Pelodiscus sinensis: one gene and its partner. The protein of the gene in region 1 interacts with the protein of each later gene in a pairwise test. Links are inferred from orthologs where the notes say so. Each region holds a gene or a part of one and is shown on either strand. Other genes may lie near its edges.

Region 1 (10,779 bases):
AGCCACTGGAGCCCGGCATCAGCTAATCATGGCGGACACAATGAAGTAACCGTGATGGGAGTGAAGATCACCGGGATCAGGTCATGGGTGCAGAGGGGGAAACACTGCGCAGAGGACCCCGGATGAAAGCAACCGCTGGACGCGGCCCAGGGGAGCTCTGCCCAGAGACGACTTCAGGGAGGCGTGGAAATAGGCTCCACAGTGCCAGTCCAGCTTCCTTCTCCTGGAGGGTGGATGACCGCCCGAGCCAGGAGGTGGCTCCTGAAGCCGGGAGACTTTACGGGGCTCCGGAGGGAGATGCGCGGATCAGGCGGAGGCGCGGCTGGAACCTGAAGAGAAGGCCCTGGAGGAGTCGGACAAGGGGCTGCAGCCTGGCACCGTGGCAGGAGATGTGGGCCGACGTCTCCCTTGCGCCACATAAAGGGGCAAGTGTCGCAGAGGCAGGGGTCACCCCCACAAGTACACACTCACATGCAACTGCTCTGGGAAGGAGCCTGCCAGTGGGTCAGGGGACCAGGGCGCCATTCAGACTGGTGCTCCTCACCCTCCACAGGCGGTAGGAGGTCCTGCCCCTGGCTTGTGCGGTGGGGCACCAGTGTCAGAAAGAAGGATAGGATACGAGCTGTGAGCACCCACAGCTGTTTCCTAGGGACGGACAGCCGAGTGAGCAGCCAGTGTGTGTCTCATTTCTGCTCCCAACTCTAACCATAGCCTGGAGAGTCCTGCTGGCCCCAGCCCTGGGGAGCCCTACTAACAGTTCTCACTCTGCCCACTGTACCCTTGCCCTCAGCTGGGAAGCCCTGCCCTTTGTAATGAAGCACAAAGCGGGGAGCCCTACTGACCCTGCCCTAGGCCCAGAAGCCCTACTGATCACCGTGAACCTCAGGCTGCACAGCGTAGTGACCCCCATGCTAAGCCTGGGCTGCGGAGCCCCCCCCTTGTAACCATACCCCTAAATGGGAATCTCCACCAGCCCCAATGCTAGTCTGAGAAGCACTCCTGACAACCCCCACCGAGGCCACCCCTAACCCGAGGGTTGGTATCTGTACCATGCCCTGGCCTAATCTTAGGCTGGGGAGGCCTAAACTGCTGCAACCCGGACCTTACGCGGGGAGGCGGGTTAGTCACACCCACTCGAACCCTAGACTTGGGAGCTGCATCCAGTCCAACCCTAACTATAGGTCAGGAAGTCCACACCTTATAACCCTACCACTAAACCAGAGTCCTTCCCTTGGTAAGAACCACGGATCCCAACCCTAATCTGAGACCGGGAACAACCCGAACCCCAGGCAAGAGAGCCTTGCTAACTCCAACCCTTACATACCCCTAGGGACTCTCTGACCTTCACCCTCACCCTGCTTGGGGGCACTATGCTGTGTAACCCTAACCCGATGTGAGGGAGCCCTGCTAACCCCAACTCTGAACCTAGGCAGGGAGTCCTGCTGACCCCAATCTTAGCTCTAGGCCAGGGAGCCCTACCCCTAGCATGGGGAGCCCTGTTGGCCCCAGTCCTGAAATTAGGAGAAGGAACCCTACCCATTGTAATCTAAACCCAAGGGCGGGTCGCCTTACCATTTCTAACCAAACCTTCTGCTTGGAAATTTGATGACCCAACCTGTACCATAAGACAGGGATTTGTACTGACCCAACCCAAACCTACACCAAGGACGCCTGCTCACCCCAACCCTAATCCCAGGCCATGGGACTTTATGCTTTGTAGCCCTAATCCTAGACTGGGGAGTCCCTGGGCGGAGGTGCTCTGTGACCTCACAACTGGAGGACCTACCCTTTGGAACTCAAACCCTCCATTGGGGAGTCCTGACAACAATCATATCCATAGGCACAGGGGCTCCCTACCACAATGCAGGGAGCCCAAACAACAAGCCTAATGTTAGGGCTAGTGGCCCTACCCTTTGTAAACCCCACTATAGGCCAGAGCACCCCACCTGTACTGACAATCCTACTCTAGCCCGGGGCTCCTACAGACCCCAACAGTAACCCTGGGGTTGAGCGCGCAACCTTCACTCTAGGCCAAGGAACCCTACTGATCCAAACTCTAGCCCCAGGCTCAGGAGCCAGTGGGAGCCCTCTACTTTGTAACCCTAGCCCTAGGCAAGGGACCCCTCCCCGTTGCAAATGTTACCATAACCCTCCCTTTTGGCCAACCCTCGGGCAGGGAGCCTTACCATGTGTAGCCTGGAGACTCCTACTGACCCCAATCCAAATCCCAGGCCAAGGAAACCTCTGACCCCACCCCTAACTCTGGGTTGATGAGCCATACCCTTTGTAATCCCAACTCTTGCAAGGGGATTAACATACAGTTTCCTGCCATAAATGGACAGTTAAAATTGGGCTGATTTTAATTAAAGAATGTAACAAATGTATTAAACTACAAGATTAATGCCCTATGCTTGTATTCACTTAAAGTCAGAGTCAGACATGGATACAAGAGAAATAAGGATAAAACACTTCCTAGGACTAAAACTTAGGACAGAGTTGGTCCAAAATAAAATTCTTACCAGAGGGGTCCAGCAACAAAGCTGACCAAGGTCAGGATCTCTTCCAAATAGGCTGATTTCTTTTGTCTTCTCACGTGAGAGAGCAAGAGATGGATAGGGTGTGTTCTTCCACTCGCTTTTTATAGTTCAATCTCTCTTTGAAATCCATTTTCTTGAGGGTTATCCCTAACAGTCATTCCTATTGTGAGGTTGGAATCCAGGAGTCTGCTAGTGAAAGAGGTGAATGGCTGTTTGCTAAGGTGCAGATCTGTTCACTCCTGCCCCACCCTTCTCCCTTGCCAAAGAATTGCCACTTGATTGGTGAGGGCCCATCAGCTTAGAGGACACCAGGCCAAAGCTGTGAGTCTGTCCTTTGTCTTTGAGAAACAAGTTTATCCACTCCCAGACTTGCCTGGTAAACACAATTCTGTCATGATTTCAGCTTTTGTTTAAATCGTATATCTACTATCACTACACACATTTCTCTGTGACATTACCAACCAGTGAGTTGTTAGTTTTCAAATGAAACTTCACAAGGCATATTTTGTACAACATGTATAGGGTGCGAACACGGGGGGGGGGGGGGGGTGTTTCATCACACCAGTCATCCCCACCATAATCCCCCGACAGGTGGGAAGACAGGACTCCAAATCACATCCCATAAAACTCATGCCTCAGTGGTGTGGAGATGATACTTCATGCAAGAGGCAGTAGCCAGTATGAGGTTTCCATGGTGTTCTTCCAACTTCCAACTCAGGAATCACAAACTGCAACTGGATAGTTCTTGCGGGGATTTCAATTTACAGGCCTGGTCACTGTCTCAGATAAAAGGTTCTTTGTGGGATTTCCCAGCAGATTTGATATTACTGTCTCCACCACCAGCAGGCTTAAAATAAAACACTTTGTACCAACTGCCCACCTACTTTTAAAGAAAAACAAGAATTTATGCCTTAATTTATAACCCAACCATATTTATGGCGACACCACACTTCTACACCAAAAGAACATAGAGAGGACTGAACCAAGATCAGATGCCTATGAGGACAAAGACATTACTATCCATACTTCACAGCTAGGGAGCTGGGGCAGAGAGAGAGGTCAGGTCTACACTAGGGGATAAGTTCGAATTAAGATATGCAACTTCAGCTACGTTAATTACATTAAGTACCTTGCGTCAAACTTTGGCACCACTGCCACGGCGGGAGGTCGATGGGAGAAACATTCACATTATCTTTCCTTACTCCTTCCAAGGAGTAGGAGTGCCAGTATAAATGGGGGCAGCCCCTTGGCATTTGATTTAGCAGGTCCTTAGTAGACCCACTAAATCGAATGCCAGAAGATGGCCCTCCAGAGCATCAATCTATGGGTAAGTATAGACATGGCCAGAGAGCGAGACAAAGAAAGTAACTTGCCCAGGGTTACATAGAGACTGACAACCTAGAATTTCAGTTCCAGTCAAGTGCCTTAGCCACAAGGCCAGATTTGCTCCCTGAGAGTATGTACACACTGCACATAACCTGCCCCTGACCCATGCCAGCTCACTGGGGCTCAGGCTAAGGCACTGTTTAATTGTAGTGCTAATGTTTGCACTTGTGCTGCAGCTCACACTCCGGGACCCTCTCACCTCACAGGATCCTAGAGCATAAACCCAAGTGATGACACTGTAAATCAACAGCCTCTGAACCCTGAGTCAGTGGCACAGGCATCTGCAGTGTAGACGTACCCTGAAATTCCTTCTGCCAATCATAATTCAAGAGGAGCTTTTCTGCGTGCACAGAGCCATGCTGAACGAGACAGGAGGAAGACAATTCTACATGTCCCACATGATAAAATCAATGGTGAAAGTAATGAAAACTGAGACATCTCTTTTGCACCAGATAGCTTAGCCAGTCAAAACATGGGCTTAGATAAGCTTATGAGGTCTGAGATAATCAAACAAGAACCAAAGAGTTTAAACTATTTTATTTATTTATTTTTCAGTCTAAACCAATGAAGCTTCAAGAAACCAAGCTATTTGGATGAAAGGAAGAGATGCCACCACCACTGGACGTCGCTCAGATTTTTTCCCCACATTATAAATGTCTAGATTACAAAAACAGAAGAATCTGAATATCATCTGGAGTGTCACAGAAAAGAAAGAGTTTGTCTAAATGGCACCAAGAAAAGTAGTTATGATTCCGCAAGCCTATTTCAAGTGTTTTTGGCTGCCGTATTACAGATTGGTTTGCAAGCCTCAGAAATACGCAACCTTTCAACGGAGTGTGACCAGCTCCTCTGATGAAGTTGGATGAATGGCAACCGTCTCATCAAAGCTGGCCTTTGTTGCTCCCATTTTGACTGCTACAGCGAAACCTTGCAGCATTTCATCGCACCCTAGTCCCTGCATGTGTAGTCCCACCACCTTCAAACAATAGGAAACTTACTTTAATACAGATGAGCATTTAATGACAGTTATCACTGAACCAGCTAGAGAATCTCCATCAACCTGATCACTCATTGGCATAGAGAAAAGCTACTTTTGACCTAGTCAACAGCCTTTCAAACAAATCTACCCATTTGGAGTTAGTGAAGAGTTAAGGTCGCCCAGTAGTGTTTCCAGCCTGTGGAAAGCAGCTTGCTTCAGAATATGGGAAGTGACAAAATATAAACCTTTGAAAACTAGGAAATACGAAGTTACAGTCCCTATTACCCCTGCAGCACCATCTTAACTTTGTGCCCCTGCAGCTGGCAAAACCAGAGGGAATCTATCAGCATGGGCGTGGAACAGATTAAACTACCAGGGAAGCAGAGGATTTTTCATCTCTTGAAATGCTCAACTCAAGACTGGGGGCCTGTCTCAAAGATGTTTTAGTCAAACACTGATTAGGCCCAAAAGAGGAGTCAGATGAAATTTTATGACCTGTGTTATATATGAGGTCAGACTAGAGCGGCGTAGCTGAACCCCTTCAGCCTCATATGCCACAAATAATGATGAGGTAGGGATGTAAAATCCCATGTAATCGGTTAGCTGGTTTAATCAGGATCCTGCTGGCAGTGGGCCAGTTATTTTACCTTTCGCTAGCCACACCGATTTAGCTAACAGCAGAATACAAGCTGTTCCATTCTCCTTAACATTTTAGCTATGACTTATTTCATTTGGCTCACCTTCTCTTCTTTGCCAGCACAAACCAGCTTCATGACACACTTAGTTTTCCTCTGCGTTACAGCGTGATACATGGGGGTAAAAGAGGTGTTGTAGATCTTCACATTCTCTTTTCCATATGTCGAAATGGCTTCCTCTGTAACACACAAGAGACATTTGACTCCATGGCCTGCAGAGGACTATGGGCTAGTTACACTACTGGGCTCTCGCAGCACTACAGCACGTCTGGTGAAGGACACCACGCCAACAGGAGAGCGCTTTCCCTTCAGCGTAATTACTCCACCTCAACAAGAAGAAACAGCTGTGTTGGCGGGAGAGAGTCTCACATCCATATAAAAGTGGTGTCTGCCCCATACTAAGTTGATGTAATTTACATGGCTTTTTCATAACCCAGAGCAATGTAAGTTTTTTTATAATGGAGGTTGCCTATCTCCTAGAACTGGAAGGGACCTTGCAAGGTCATTGAGTCCAGTCCCCTGCCTTCACAGCAGGACCAAGTACCATCCCTGATGAATTTTTGCCCCAAATCCCTAAATGGCCTCTGCAAGGATTGAACTCACAACCCTGGGTTTAGCAGGTCAATGCTCAAACCACTGAGCTATCCCTCCCCCCTGTTAAGTAGTAGTATAAACAATCCCTCATACTCAAGCAGGATGAAATGAAGACCACTTTACACAGCGACAGAGGAAAATGTTCTGTACACTTCTTAATGACATTGGTACTTATGCAAGCAATTGAAACAGTCTATTGCTAGCACAACACAGGGACCAAGCGTTGTAAACGACTAAGCATTTGGAAGAAGTAAAGTATTCTGGACAAACACATTTTAGTAAGTTTTCCAAAAAGAACAAATCTGACATTCAAAAAATAAATTAATGGCGGCATTATGGAGGTGTCCTCAGACATTTCATAGTCAAAGTGTATTTGAGTTTTGCCCTTAAGCAGGGCCACACTTATGTACGAAGAACACAGCACAGCATCTGCAAGCCTACAGCACTTTGAGTAAAGAATGAACTTGGCAATTTACAAAAAAAATCTATTTATTAGTTGTGGAGATAAAATTAAATGTGGGATCCCTAAGAAATATAGGCACTCACTTTTTGACCCACAGCTGCAGTAACTGCAATATACTTTTTGTAGTTAAAATTCTCTAAAATCTTGTGGCTAGGTTATACAGTAGAACAGAGGTGGGCAATAATTTTGGAAAGTAGTCAAAGGCTATACTCTTCCATTACTTTAATGGAGGAGGTGTGGGATCTGGGAGGGAGTTTGGGTGAAGGAGGCAGTTGTGACCTGGGACAGGGGACTGATGTGTAGGAGGGGATGCAGGAGTTTGGGTTGAGACCTAGGGCAGGATGGGATTCTGACCTGGGGCAGGGGATCGGGGTGAAGGTAAGAGGAAGCTGATGTTCCTAGCTCTTACTGTTTAGGAGGAGTTCTTGAACAAACAGACACACAGATGGACGGACAGAGAGAGGCACATTTCTAAACTATATAGTAAGACACTGTAACTGTCTGTACGCACTGCTGTGTTCACACCCTACACACTACTGCAAAACGTTTTTTTAAACATATGCCTTTACAAGACAGCACCTAAAACTAATACAGGTGGGATCTCCCTAGTCGGACACTCTCAGGACCGTAGTGGTCCTGAAGCACAGTTTGCTGCTGCCTGCCCCAGCCCATGGCTGGCGCTCCCCACCACTGCTCCTGAACCTGGCCAAACAGGGTAATATGGCCCAGCAATATTTGTGGTCCTGCCAGACCAGAGAGACATGGATTTTAGAGGTTCAACCTGTAGCACACGGCTCATTAATATCAGTGTAAAATGCATGTGTTAACTTCTTATGTGAAGCTCTACATGCCTACTGTACAATGTCACTAGAACAAGATGACAGCCTGGCCTAGGCAAAGGTGATAAAACAGATCTGCCCTAGACAAAGGAATGTAGGTTACCTCAGTTTACACATTAGCTGTGAACAAAGCTATCAAGCGATCCAGCAGGGGTTGTGTTGAGCCTGAACCAGGATTGCCATCTGCTTAAAAGTATTTTTGTGGACAACATGGAAAAAAAGTTACTGAAACTTTTTTACGGACGCATTCTTACACTATATAAAGATACGACAAAAGGGAACACTAGTCAATGTTTTTATTCAGACATCACAGCAGCAATGTTATTATGCTAGTTTAACCTATTTACTACCCACATTCGCATCCTCCAAGTTCTGAAAGCTTTCGGGCAAGGCAGGTGACCCTTTTGGGACTCTTCTGGGCACAGGCAAAATTCAAAAGGGGTGAGGAAAACAGACTTTTCTTCAGGTTTTACCTACTTCACATCTCGGGATGGGGGTGGGGAGGGGGCTACGGCTGAAAAGGCTGAATGATGGGCTGCAGCAGGAGCATGAGGGTTGGTGACACCAAAGAGCTCAAAGCTGGTCACCACAGGTGAAGAAGAGCAGCCCCCACCAGGAGAATTCCCCCCTGCCCCAGGAACTGTAGAGTCTACGGAGCTGCCCTGCGGAGCTTGCCCCAGAGCCAAGTGGGAGGAAGCTCAGTGGGTTTTTATTGACATGGAAATGTTTTACAGACAGGTCCAATTTTAGCTCCTTTTATGGGCTGCCCATAAATTTACTGACTGTTGGCAACCCTGGCTTGAACTCAAGAGACTGAGAACCAACATTGCTCCTCGTACCCCAGAGAAACACAGGTGGCCTTCCTAACTCTGATATTTAAGACAATTCTTTGGGGATATAAGGAAAAAAGAGAGTCCAACTGAATCTTTCACTTAGGAACACATGAGAAACCATCATCTTGTACTTCCGTGGAAGCTCCTGGCTGAGAGAATTCATCAGCCATGGGTAATGGGCGAACAAAATCATCAAAAAAGTCTGTGCCTTGTTAGAGAAGTTCTAGACTTTTAGGCACGTATTTTTATTTGCTAGCAACTCTCTCTAACTTTATTTCTTTTATTTGGCATCACATAACCCAGGTGTTATTAACGTGTTCTATTTTAACCTAAAACAACCCAGTGCAGTGTCTGAACTGTTGTAATAGTTAACTCCAATTAATGTCACAAGCTCTTGGGTACTGTGCCTTTAAAGGAGTAAATAAACATTATTATTTATCTAAGTGGTTCAGGAGAAGGCTGAACACTTCAGGGTGGGTGGTTCTGTAGACATTTGGAACAGGAAGTGTGCTGAGGTCACCTTGCCAGGTATAACTACAGCTGGAGGAAACAAGGGAGAGACTGTTGTGTTTGTGGCAGGCTTCTGGGTCAGGACAAAGCTAGCAGAGCACGCAAAAACTCAAGGGACTGCTGTTTGTATCCAGGCTGTGAGCCACAGCAGCACAGCACTTAAGGCACCCATGGTTACAACACAGGATGTAACCTCTCCTTACAGGTCTGGATTACAACCCACAATACAACCATAACTATCCACAAACCAAACAGTCTAAAGCCCAAGAAGTCACAGTTAAGGTTACAAATAAAGAAAATTAAGCATGTTCAGGTAAGAAATGATGTTGACACCAAAACAACTATAATCTGCTCTGTCAGACTCATCCAGCTTCCCATGGGATTAAAAAAAAAACCTCACTGAAATCTTGTGCATAGGCTATATCTAAAGATATTTTTTAAAGATTTATGGCCTTTCCTGACCATACCTTAGATGTTTCTCTTTCAGCAGAAACCTTCACTATGCCCTGTAGTGCTACTATGCAAACACTATTCTCTTAGGATTATGGCACTTTAGGGTTTGTGGACCTAGGTCAAATTACAAAAAAATTTCTTCAAAATCAGTTTAGTCTCCTCTCTCCTCTCTCCCCCCCCCCCCCCCCCCCATGACATTTCTACTGGACACAGTTAAGGGTGCCATAATTATATTTTGATTCCTAAACCTTTTTTTTTTTTTTTTTTTTTTTTAAGTTTAACCTTATCAATGTAGTTCTTGATTTTGGGACAGTTACACTGTAGTTTACCTTACATTACTGATTGAGTGCGCCTATGTGCCAAGTGGAAACTTGGACAGATATCTAGGGAGGAGTATAAATATATTGCTCGAGAATGCAGGGGAGTTATCGGGAAGGCAAAAGCGCAATTGGAATTGCAGCTGGCAAGGCATGTGAAGGGTAACAAGAAAGGCATGTTCACAATAAGAGGGTGATCAGAGAGGGTGTGGGGCCCTTACTAGATGAAGGAAGTAACCTAGTGACAGATGATGTGGGAAAAGCTGAAGTACTCAATGCTTTCTTTGCCTCTGTCTTCACGGACAAGATCAGCTCCCAGACAAATGCACTAGGCAACGCAGTATGGGAAGGAGGTGGACAGCCCTTGGTGGGGAAAGAACAAGTTAGGAGCTATTTAGAAAAGCTAAACAGACAAATTCATGGGCCTGGATTTAATGCATCCAAGGGTACTGAGGGAGTTGGCAAATGTAGTTGTGGAGGATTTGGCCATTATCTTTGAAAACTCGCAGAGACTGGGAGAGATTCCGGATGATTGGAAAAAGGCAAATGTAGTGCCCATCTTTAGAAGAGGGAAGAAGGACAATCCAGGGAACTGCAGACCCATCAGCCTTACCTCAGTCCCTGGAAAAATAATGGAGGGGATCCTCAAGGAATCCATTTTGAAGCACTTGGAAGAGGGGAAAGTGATCAGGAATAGTCAACATGGATTCACCAAGGGCAAGTTGTGCCTGACCAATCTGATTAGCTTCTATGATGAGGTAACTGGCTCTGTGGACATGGGAAAAAAATCAGTGGATGTAATATATCCTGACTTCAGCAAAGCTTTTGATACGGTCTCCCACAATATTCTTGCCAGCAAGTTAAGGGAGTATAGATTGGATAAATGGACTGTAAGATGGATAAAAGCTAGCTAGACTTTCGGGCCCAATGGGTAGTGATCAATGGCTCGATGTCAGGTTGGCAGTCAGTTTCTAGCGGAATGCCCCAACGATTGATTCTTGGACCGCTTTTGTTCAACAGCTTTATTCAACATCTGGATGAGGGGATGGATTGCACCCTCAGCAAGTTTACAGATGACACTAAGCTAGGGGGAGAGGTAGATACGCTGGAGGGCAGGGATAGGGTCCAGAGTGACCTGAACAGATTAGAGGATTGGGCCAAAAGAAATCCGAT
Region 2 (11,260 bases), on another chromosome or scaffold:
CAGCCCCCAGCTGCTCTACCCCAGGGGTAGGCAAGAAAAGCCTGGTCTGCTGGGGGGAGGGGCACTAGCTGCATCCCCCCCCCCCCCCAGCAGACCAGGGAGACGGGGAGCAAAGCCTTGGAGCACGCCCGTAGCGGGACAGCCCGGACGCGCTTGGACTGTCCCACTGTGGGCATGCTCCAAGGCTTTGCTCCCCCCTCCCCCCCAGCAACCAGGGAGACGGGGAGCAAAGCCGCTGCTCCAGGCAGCGGCTTTGCTCGGGTGTCCCTGGTCTGCTGGGGGGGTCCAGCGACTTTGCTGGACCCCCCCTGCAGACCAGGGAGACGGGGAGAAGCTTTTCTCGCTCCGGAGGACACGGGTGGCGACCTACCGCCCGTGAGCTCCGGGGCAAGAAAAGCCCCGTTCGTAAGTGCGGATCCGACGTATGTCGGGGACTGCCTGTATTGCTACAAAATGGCTAACTCATTTTTATAATTTCATATAATTCTAAAATAAATCAACTGGAAAATAAATATTGTACTTATATTTCAGTGCATAAAGCAGCATAAACAATTTGTCCATATGAAATATTTGTTCTGGTGCTCGCTAGTGCCTTGAATGTAGCCAGTTCTAGATATTTGCCTAGTTTTAGATGAGGTAATGTAGCTGCTGGAAGAGCGCTGCATAATGCCAAGAGTACACATGCCCCTATTTGAGCAACATCTGTTCTAAGGCACCAATACCTGTAGCATTTATATATTCAACAAGCTGCAAATGAAGACCAAGTGAATTAAAAATGGGCATCATCTTGTCATCTTGGAGTTCACCGTTTAACTAGGATTTTTCCCCCTCCTCCTTTCATATCATTCCCATGCATGCTGGATAAAAGTGCATTTTCCAATGGTCCTGACTGAGAAGCTAATCTAAGAATTACTCCGATCTCTTCAAAAAGAATATTTAGTCTAGAATCCAACATTAAGAAACTTGGCTCCCAGATCTGTAGAGTTGCTATTCTCTGAAATGAGCATGTGTGCACACATTCATTAGTGCAGGCGTCTGAGCTTCAGATGTAGCATGCTTTCGAACTTTGAAAACTGGAACCTAGCACTAAAAGGGAAGCAAGTAGAAGGTAGACTACACTGAGGTGCTCTCAGCAGCTAGTTCTGATCAAGAGGGACAGGTTGCCTTATGTTGTCCAAGACGGAATTTTATTGGCCTCGATTGACTAAGAAACAGGTAGTTGCAGTACTATAATCCCATCTCAAAGTAAGTGCATGAATCATGACTACTAGGTTCCTATGCAAAAACAGGTGTATTCATCCAGCAATCTAGAGAGGTCAGAAAATTCTTGCTAGTGTTACTATTTTTGTTAATTAGTGCACTGCAAAATGAGTTTCAAGCAGCAGCTATTGAAAAACTACTGTAATTGCTGATCAAGACATCCATTTCATTTAAAGGGAGCAGAAGGACCTAGAACAAGCTGTGGAATACCACACTGCAATAATATTCTCAAAGCTTTTAAATACATGCTTTCATTATAAAACAACTGTTTTTGACCATCTAATCTGGAAGTGCTAAAACACAATTGACAATAGGTAAAATAGTGCTCCTAGATTGAGAATTTACAGGTTTATCTTTGGCTTGAAACATATTTTACACCGCAACTTTACCAGAGCAGAAGCAATGTCAAACTATAAATCATTAAGTGTTAGATTACATAAAAGAAACTTTATAATTAAGACTGCAATATTCAATCTTTTATTCATCCTATAGTACAGTACATTCATAGCGCAGAAACTGGAAAGTGTGAAATAAGCAAAAGTGTAAACGGAGACAAAAACATGCCCGCTGTCTGGGGAAACCTACAACAATGCAGTAAGAGAACCGTCTATTTTCCTTCGGATCAGAGACGTATGCAAACTCCATGTTAAACTCAGTGGGAGGTAAGTGAAGAAATATCTGTTTGTCAAGACACAGATTTTCCTTAATTTTTTTACACTCAAGTTAAACAAAAAGTTTAAAAATCTCTAAGATTTTGATTTACAAAGTTTAAAAAAGTTGTACACAGACTTGCACAAATTTGACCTGTTAAGTCTAAAATTTGCCTTTATCACACATTTTAATATTGTGAAAAGATCTTTAAGCACCAATTTCCCAAACAGTCTCAACTGTGAATCTAAGTAACCAACAAGGTGGAAGTGATCTGAGGTGCCATAGGACTCCTTTTTTTTTTTGGAGCAGATACAGACTCTTTCAGCTACACCCTCAAAACATTATTTTATCAACTATTTTAATATGGATATGCACATCAGAAAAGTTACACAAGTTATTGTCTTAGCAAACAAACACTAAGATATATGTTGGAGGCTAGGCCTGCCCTTTTAATAGCAACTTTAAAAAATAACTCTTGCTTGGGTCTATAACTCAGTATTTGTCTTTTGTAAAACGGAATGAAAAACAAACATACTGCATTTAAATCATTGCTCTGGGGTAGGGCTGTGGATGAGGAGTTCAGTATGCAGGCTGGCCTGGACTACTCCATCCCCCTCTCAGGGTGGCAGCAGCTTGGGGCCAGACAAGAAGCACCTCATGCAGCTCCAGTGGGCACAGCCAGGGGAGGTTGCATGTCTACCAGCTGGAGCAGATTCAGGTTCATCTGTCCCCTGTACTCCCCAGACAAAGTGAGGAATGCATAAACTATGCACTTTCCCCTCACTTCTTAATAAAGAGCAACAGCCAGCAATGTCCCCATATGAATTGAGGGGGGAGATTCACCTCCCCATCCTACCTAAAGGGCACCTGGGGAGTAGGAGGCTAGAGGCAGCCAGCCCCTTTCACTTATCTGGTAACTCTGCCTCTTTTCTGCACTGTTTTATGAGAAGCACTCCCAGTCTAGGCACATCCAAACCCTTACGTTGCTTTGAGTTATGATAAGAGGAAGAAGCTGTATACCAAATTTGGTAGTCCTAACTCTTACCATTTAGGAGGAGTTCTTGAACAGACAACTCTCTCAGATATATAGTAGATAGATTTAATCTTATTAAAACATAGTAAAAAGTGCTGCTCCAGACAAAGATTTGAGCCAAATTATTTTACAGGCACCCCCCCCCCCTAAAAATTGAGCTTATAGTAAAAAGTGAATGATAACTAGTCCCATTTGTGACTATCTGTAACAATAATAAAAAACAAGACAAAATTCATTGGTAAAAGTGTCGTGTTTAAACTTGCTAGCAATGTTTCAAGCTTCAAGTCACTCAGAAATGAACTCTAACCTAATGCTGAATTATCTATCTACACTGACCGATAAATACAGGTACTTGCAAGTTCTCTCACTACACTGGATACTTTAAATACAGACATACTAACAAAGAATACAAAGTGTAAGATTTATCATTTCATTAAGAGTTGCTTATTTTATATTCAATGACATTCTAGTGAAGCACCATTTCACTTTTAGCAAGATGAAGGAATGACTACAAAATGATGTTCACAAACCTGTGTGTCATGTTAGGTTATCAAGTAGTTAAATAAGATACCACCAAGAAGCCAACAGTTCGCACTCCTAAGCAAAATCTATATGGTAAGTCTCATTGGTAGCCTTTCAAATCCAGAAGTTACATACATTTTTAAAACTACAGACATGTTTTTTCCCCTCACCAGATATTTGTTGGGGGTCATCAAAAAGAAAATAAGACAAGATCATCCCTGTCCATGATCATCATCAAATGGATTTATAAGGATAGTAGTATAGCATCCTACTCCTTGGAAAACAGTCAGCTGTTTCGCATATTAACCCCCTCACTCATTCTTCTCCGCCTCTATAACCAACATTAGAAATAGCCCCATAGCTAGGCAGAAGAACTGCAGGAGACAAAAACCTTCCTGCATCTCCATACACACACCAAAAATGTCTATTTTTAAAACCATGAAAAACAGCTACCGGTCTGATAGGAAGGAGGGAGACCACTCACTAGCTAGGCTTTTCTAGCACACCCATCACTTGGGGAAGCTGTCCCGACCCTGGGCTTTAAACACATGCAGCACTGATATGGGGCAGGAACTCACTTTACACAGCCCCCCGCCTAATGCGGGCGCGCACGCGCGCTCAGGCACGCCCAGCCGCCTTCTGAATATGGGGCTTAAACGCATTAGCCTTTGATGTCTCCTCTAGTTTAACAGCGCACCGAGGGCTCAGTGCACTCAAAACAACTCCTACTTCTCCCCACTCTCTCAGCAGCAGCAATGTAGCACGCACGTACGTCTCCCCCCCCCCATCCGCGACAGAGCTTAGAGCACCTACTAGCGCGGGAGCGATCGCCTCCCAGACCTTCCTTCGCTGCCGCGCGCTCTCCCCACACCGGGCAAACTGGGCCCAACTTACTGCTTAGGCGCCGGGAGGGGGAGTGGGAGGGGCAGGGGGAGTGGGAGGGGGGAGTGAGTGAGTGAGTGTGAGTGAAGGGAAGGATCCCGCCTCGCCCCCTACCCACCCTTGTGTGCTAGCGCGGGATCCCGCCTCGCCCCTTGCTCTTCACTAGCCCCGCACCCCGTGTGTGTGCGCGTGCACGGGGGAGGGGGAGAGACCCCTAAACACCCTCCCCGGTGTGCGCGTGCCGGGGGGGGCTCGCTCACCTTCCAGCAGCCGGGTGATGAGACTATCCACATTCAGCTCCCCATCCGCCATTTTGTGGCCACCGGACTCAGTCCCGGGCGGGGAGAAGGCGGGGTGGAGAGCGCTTCACGGTCGAGGGGCGGCGGCTCGCCCCAGGAATCCCGCCGCGCTCTCTGCTCTGCTCCTCCCGCGCGGGCACCCGAAAGCGCCTCGCTCGGCCCCGCTCCGTTAAATGGGGGGGAGAGACCAACCCCCGCACCTCCTCCCCGCCTCAGAGACCGGACCGCCAGCAAACCACGACGCATGCGCCGCCACCTGGTTTCTTGCCGCGACCGCTTCGCTTCGCAACTTTAGCAAGGGCGCATGCGTGAGGGACTCCTCTAGGGCCAATGTTACAGACGGCGCAGGCGCAAGGGGTGTTCTTGCTGCACTTCAAGCCCTCCTGGAGGGGCGCATGCGCTTCAGATGATCTTCCTTTCGCCGCCCCCAGTAACCCATTGGGCCTAGCAGTGCTGCAAGCGCGGCCGAGCTAGTGTCAGGTGGGAGCAGGAGAGACGGTCCAGCCTGAGTGCAAAAGGGTGTCGGAGAAGCACGTCCCCGCGCGCAGGTGGAAACCTGCCAGACATCCCCCAGCCAAGCGTTCACAGCTGGAGCCCTCCAGCTGGACTCACACACCCTCCCGCCTGACTCCTGGGGAGGCTAACCAGAGCCCCCCGTCCCACTGCTAACGTGAGCCACTCTTGGGAGCTGATCACGTCTCACGTTCGTTGCTGTCAAAAATCACAATAGTTAAACAAGCTGCCCGCATTGAAAGACCAAGTTGCGCTCAGCAACTAATGCAACTCTCAGAAAAAAAACACTTATGTTTTTCTCATCCCGGACATATTTTTCAGCATTACTTATTGACCATTTTAAAGTATGCGGTTTTGCCATTAGGTGGCTATCTGAATGAACATAAAATGCTTTGAAAGCAGCTGTTAAAATATGCAGGAATAGGGCCAATATGTAAAACTGTAAAGCATAAAACATAGCTATTGCTGTGCAAACTGCAGCTATTCTAGAAAAATCAGGCCACTTAGATACCTAAATATAGATGAAGATTTGGATTTTTGGCTCTAGGAACTGTCGAGGTCTATAACAGACCATGTCATTTTACATGATTTTCAAATACTCATGTTCATATACCAATCAAGGAAAAACTAGTATGAACAGTAACCACCTAACCTCAAGATGATTCTTACCAACCACCACAGGACATACCACACTAATACCAACCCTGGTACCTTCCCTTGCAACAAACCCCGTTGCCAGCTTTGTCCACATATTCATTCTGCTGAAACCATTATTGGACCTAACCAAGTGAGTTATAAGATCAAGAACACATATTCCTGCGCATCCAGAAATATAATCTATGCTATCATGTGCCGAAAGTGTCCGTCTGCTATGTACATTGGACAAACATCTCAGACACTTCGCCAAAGGATTAATGCCCACAAAACAGATATCAGACAAGATCACAAAGAGAAAACAGTTTCTTGCCACTTTAACCAGAAAGGACACTCTCTAAATGACTTAGCCACCTGCATTCTGCTACAAAGACCTTTTACATCTGCACTTGAAAGGGAATCCTCTGAACTGTCATTCATGTTAAAATTCGACACTTGCCAACAAGGACTTAACAAGACTTTGAACTTTCTCACCCATTACCAAGACAGTTTCCCCAATTATCACCTGTAATACCATTAACTCACAAACATCCCACTCTCCCTACCTTTAATATCAGCAATTCACAGACACTTACCTTCCTTTCTCCCCCTTCCCACCCCCCCGCATCCCCCTTCTGTTCTGCAATGTGATTTGTCCTTTTCATATTTGTTCATTTTTTTAAATTGTATCCTTTGGTATATATGGTTGTGACTACTTTCTTCCACTATTTGATCTGAGGAAGTGGGTCTGGCCCACGAAAGCTCATCATCTAATAAACCATCTTGTTAGTCTTTAAAGTGCTACATTGTCCTGCATTTAGTATGAACACAGCTTTAAAAGTCCTTGAGTGATGCTATGAATATGTGCAAATATATATATTAGGGAACCCAACAACTAATGTAAGAAAGAGCTCTTTCAAAAAGTGCAGGGCAATGATAAAGTTTCACTGGATATACTGAAAGAAAAAAAGAAACCATAAAAGGACTCAAAATTTGACTTTATAGTCCCAGTTGAAGACAGCCACCAAAAATGTAATTTCAACTCATCTGCCAAAAGTTTATATGCATATATAAATTCCCTTATTTTTCAGTCTTTTCCATAAATAGAGAAGAGCTAAAATGACACGTGGAAATTTGTTTTGTCCAGCTAGAAAGAGGACTGACTTTCAGAACTGCCCAACATAGTACATATGCTACCTACCCATCCTGAATTTTAAAGCATCACCCAGCTACAGTGGACCAGGTCCATATTATTGAACTCACCTGAAAATCATCACAACATTTTACTGTGGCATGATGATGTTATACAGTGAAAGAATGTTGTATAACAGGATGGAATTGTGTAATGCTATTGTATAATAACTCAGATACATGGTTCCTGCCTTCAGCATCTTCACTATAAAAACTGTTCCAGAATCACTGTGATGTGGCCCAGTCCAGTAGGCATGCTGGATCAGTGCCTATTCAGAATCAGGCTGGAAGAGGAGGTAGTAGTATTATCTCTATTTCAACTATTAGCCTGATGAGTAGAACACTTACTTGGGAGGTCAGAGATCCAGGTTCATATTCCTCCCTTTGTCTGATGGGGACAAAACATTTGAACAGGGTTCTCCCACCTTTCAGGAAAGTGCTTTAATCACTGCACCATGGGATATTTTGATATGGAGCTCCCGCCATCTGTCCTATTAAATCTGTTCCACTTTGGTTAAATACTTAGGGGCTGTGTCTACAATGGCATCCCTTTCCGGAAAAGGGATGCTAATGAGACACTTCGGAATTGCAAATCCGCGGGGGATTTAAATATCCCCCGCGGCATTTGCATTTACATGGCTGCCGCTTTTTTCCAGCTCGGGGTTTTTGCCGGAGAAAAGCGCCAGTGTAGACGCGATTCTCCGGAAAATAAGCCCTTTTCCGGAAGATCCCTTATTCCTATTGAAAGTAGGAATAAGGGATCTTCCGGAAAAGGGCTTACCGTATATACTCGAGTATAAGTCGACCCGAATAAAAGCCGAGGCACCTAATTTTACCCCAAAAAACTGGGAAAAAGTATTGACTCGAGTATAAGCCTAGGGTAGGAAATGAGGCAGCTACTGGTAAATGTAAAAAATGAAGATAGATACCGGGTCTAGCCCCGGAAGTTGGGGCGAAAGCTGCTCCGGTGCCCCTGGTCTGCTGGAGACCGTCTCCAGCAGACCAGGGGCACCGGGCGGGTTCCCGCGCTTCTGAGGCTTTGCCAGAGCAAAGCCTCAGAGGCGCGGGACCCCCCGTGGCTGCGGCTTCAGTCCGGGAGCCTGTGGTCTGCTGGGGACGGTCCCCAGCAGACCACAGGCACCCAGATTGAAGCGGCAGCAGCGGCGGTTCCCCGCGCCTCTGAGGCTTTGCCAGAGGAACCGCCGCTGCTGCCGCTTCAATCTGGGTGCCTGTGGTCTGCTGGGGACCGTCCCCAGCAGACCACATGCTCCCGGACTGAAGCCGCAGCCACGGGGGGTCCCGCGCCTCTGAGGCTTTGCTCTGGCAAAGCCTCAGAAGCGCGGGAACCCGCCCGGTGCCCCATGTCTGCTGGAGACGGTCTCCAGCAGACCAGGGGCACCGGAGCAGCTTTCACCCCGACTTCCGGGGCTAGACCCGGCTAGCCCCGGCCAGCGGCAGAGACGCGCTGAGCCCGCCCGCCTCAGTTCTCGAGATGCTGACTCGAGTATAAGCTGAGGGGGGCATTTTTCAGCACAAAAACTGTGCTGAAAAACTCGGCTTATACTCGAATATATACGGTATTTTCCGGAGAATCGCGTCTACACTGGCGCTTTTCTCCGGCAAAAACCCCAAGCCGGAAAAAAGCGGCAGCCATGTAAATGCAAATGCCGCGGGGGATATTTAAATCCCCCGCGGATTTGCAATTCCGAAGTGTCTCATTAGCATCCCTTTTCCAGAAAGGGATGCCAATGTAGACACAGCCAGAGTGAATGGGCCTGAGAGACTGATTCTACAGTCTCATCAGAGGCTCAGGGTATGTCTACACAGCAAATCACATCCAGGCTCGTGATGAGTCCTGGGCCCTGAAGCCCTCACTGTGTTTCAGAATATGGCTCCCAGCCGAAGTCTGAACATTCGCACTGCCATTCCTGCTGCACATACCATGTATTTTGCTTTCAGTCATACCAGATATTGTAGCCAAAATGCAGCATTTTAATGTTGGTATAAGAATATAAATATAATGATAGTAATAAGTCCTATATAATTATTTGCTTATACGTTTTGTGTACTTCTGTTTCATCCTGCCACTCATGATTAGACAATGTTTGCTATAAGGTCTTGCTTCTTATTAGCATTACAAATTAAATTGTGGCTTTTGTCTGCATTGCAAACCAAGTTATGTCCGTTAGTAACTATATAATCCTTTTTAAAATGTAATCCTGTCTGAAACACTCTGCAAAATTGTTTAACTGGAAATTCTCGGTGAATTGTTTGGTTGTGAGTGGAGGTTGTGAGCGTAGTTGAAGAATGTGTGTGAAAGCCATTACAAATGTCCAGATGGTCACAAACACGTGAGAAATTTGGAGATGACCAAGAAGCATCCATTGTGCTCACACTAGAGTTAAATTAGCAGAGTTGCAGAACCTTGGAGACAGGCAGAGACCCATCCCCAAAGTGAGATGACAAACAAGAGATAATGATGAGAAGTTTGATCATAAACAAATGATAATTATAGGAAAACCACAAGATTATTAACACATCAGAGATTGCAGCATGACACTGCAAAACCTCATAGACTCAAATGAGATCTTACAAGTATAAAAATGGGGTGATTTTACCATGGGACTCTAGGTTTGGTCCTGCAAAGCCAAGCCTCGGAGCCTCAAATCACAACCGACAGAACCCAGCTCTTCACTCATGTTCAATCTAACTAGCGAATAGATTGATGAATCACAACAGACTGGTAACTGGTAAGATCATCTGCATGACCTTTGTGTGTGTGAATGCATACATTGCTTTTCATGTTGTATTTGCAATAAACACAGTGTATTGCTTTTTCCTCTGAAAAAAATCCCATGTGCTTTTTATAAGCATAACAGTATTTTTAGGTAGTCCTTTAATTGCTATGGGGCTGTTTGCAGAATGAAAATAACCACCAAGGATCAACGATGAAAGAGTAAAAATGGTAGAAGAGGAGTGAACTCCTCTATGAAACATATCTGTATGTCTTATATTGAAAAGATCAATGAATTAATCATGCATCTGCTGCAGCCTTATCCCAGTATTTCCAATGTATCCATTCAGATTCAGATTGGGCAGGGCCCTCACAACCCTGAAGAGATCATAAAGCCTCATTGGCGTCCCCTGCAAAAACAGTGAGAGACTCGCATGTAAGGCATACACAACTGCATGTGTGTCAGAGTACTTCAGCTGTCAATGTCAGAACTCTTTAAGAATGTGATGAGGGTTTTTATTAGACTATGATATAGTCTCAGGTCCTCTGCCAACTTGTCCTCTGGCCCACCAGTTATCATAAATAAATGACACCTGTTGCTGCGTTATCCCCCAACCCAGGCTGGGGGATTGGCTCTTGAAACAAAACATGACAAATGATTCTGGCCTCAGACCAAATCTCTGACATGACATGGCACTCAAATTTACCAGTCCTTTGCATCATAGGAAAATGTTCCTGCTCTGTTTCTTAGGAAGGAACAGCTGTGGGGACCAAAAAAAGTATCTGCATTCATTTTCCTATGTAAATGTAAGAATAGTCAGTTTTAGGGAAAACAGATGGTTTATGCCCTGCTAATTTGCTGGTATTTGACACTAGCAGCTATAGTTTCAGAAAAAATAAAATGCACAGTGAGCTTCAGAAAGAAATCCTTTAAACTTGGGGACTAAGCTCCAGCAATGTGAGCAACTTTTATCCTTTCATCTCACAGTGTTTTATGTACATTATTAATCAAACTTCTCAACATCCCATTAATATATTAGTTTATCCAGCTGTAAGAAAGGTATAATAAGGCACAGATAGACTAAGGGAGTTGCCTAACATTATACAGTGGGTCACAATTCTGAGTCTGTAAGCAATTTTCTTTAGTATTGTTTTAAACCACATTTTGCAAGTTTAATCCCTTGTGTGCCCTGTTCTCATCTGTGTGCCCCGTTCATGACTTCAGAAATTGAAGCCATTGTTTTTAATAGCATGGCAACACAGCTAGGCAATTTGAGTTCCCTTTCAGAGGTTTTATACTGCACTTATAAGATTTGCAAGGAATCCTGATACTCAACCAATGGCAGTTGTGAAGAGTGCTAGGTGCAAAAGATGGAGTCTATATACCTAGGCCTGGTCTACACTACAGCTCAAGGTTGAATTAAGATATGCAACTCCAGCTACATTAATTACATAGCTAGAGTTGACGTAGTTTAAATTGCATTTCCACGCTGTCCACACTGCTGGAGGTTGACTGGAGTAAGTGCTTCTGTCAGCTTCCCT

Evidence for each region. The genes of interacting proteins can lie anywhere in the genome.
Region 2: the proteins of SH2D4A (region 1) and PPP1CB interact in binary tests that used the Homo sapiens proteins (3 or more experiments, as listed by UniProt). The two-hybrid records come from large-scale screens. The link is inferred for Pelodiscus sinensis from reciprocal best matches to the Homo sapiens genes SH2D4A and PPP1CB.

Annotation. Positions count from the first base shown.
Region 1 is NC_134715.1:4,802,473-4,813,251, forward strand, and holds the start of SH2D4A (SH2 domain-containing protein 4A), read right to left. Parts: upstream 4,297-10,779; 5' UTR 1-4,296. Other genes in the region: GSR (glutathione reductase, mitochondrial), read right to left, coding at 4,750-4,899, 5,643-5,776. UniProt on the Homo sapiens protein: Inhibits estrogen-induced cell proliferation by competing with PLCG for binding to ESR1, blocking the effect of estrogen on PLCG and repressing estrogen-induced proliferation. May play a role in T-cell development and function.
Region 2 is NC_134713.1:160,758,485-160,769,744, forward strand, and holds the start of PPP1CB (serine/threonine-protein phosphatase PP1-beta catalytic subunit), read right to left. Parts: upstream 4,915-11,260; 5' UTR 4,661-4,914; coding exon 4,609-4,660; intron 4,304-4,608; exon of another isoform or gene 4,281-4,303; coding exon of another isoform or gene 4,280-4,280; intron 1-4,279. UniProt on the Homo sapiens protein: Protein phosphatase that associates with over 200 regulatory proteins to form highly specific holoenzymes which dephosphorylate hundreds of biological targets.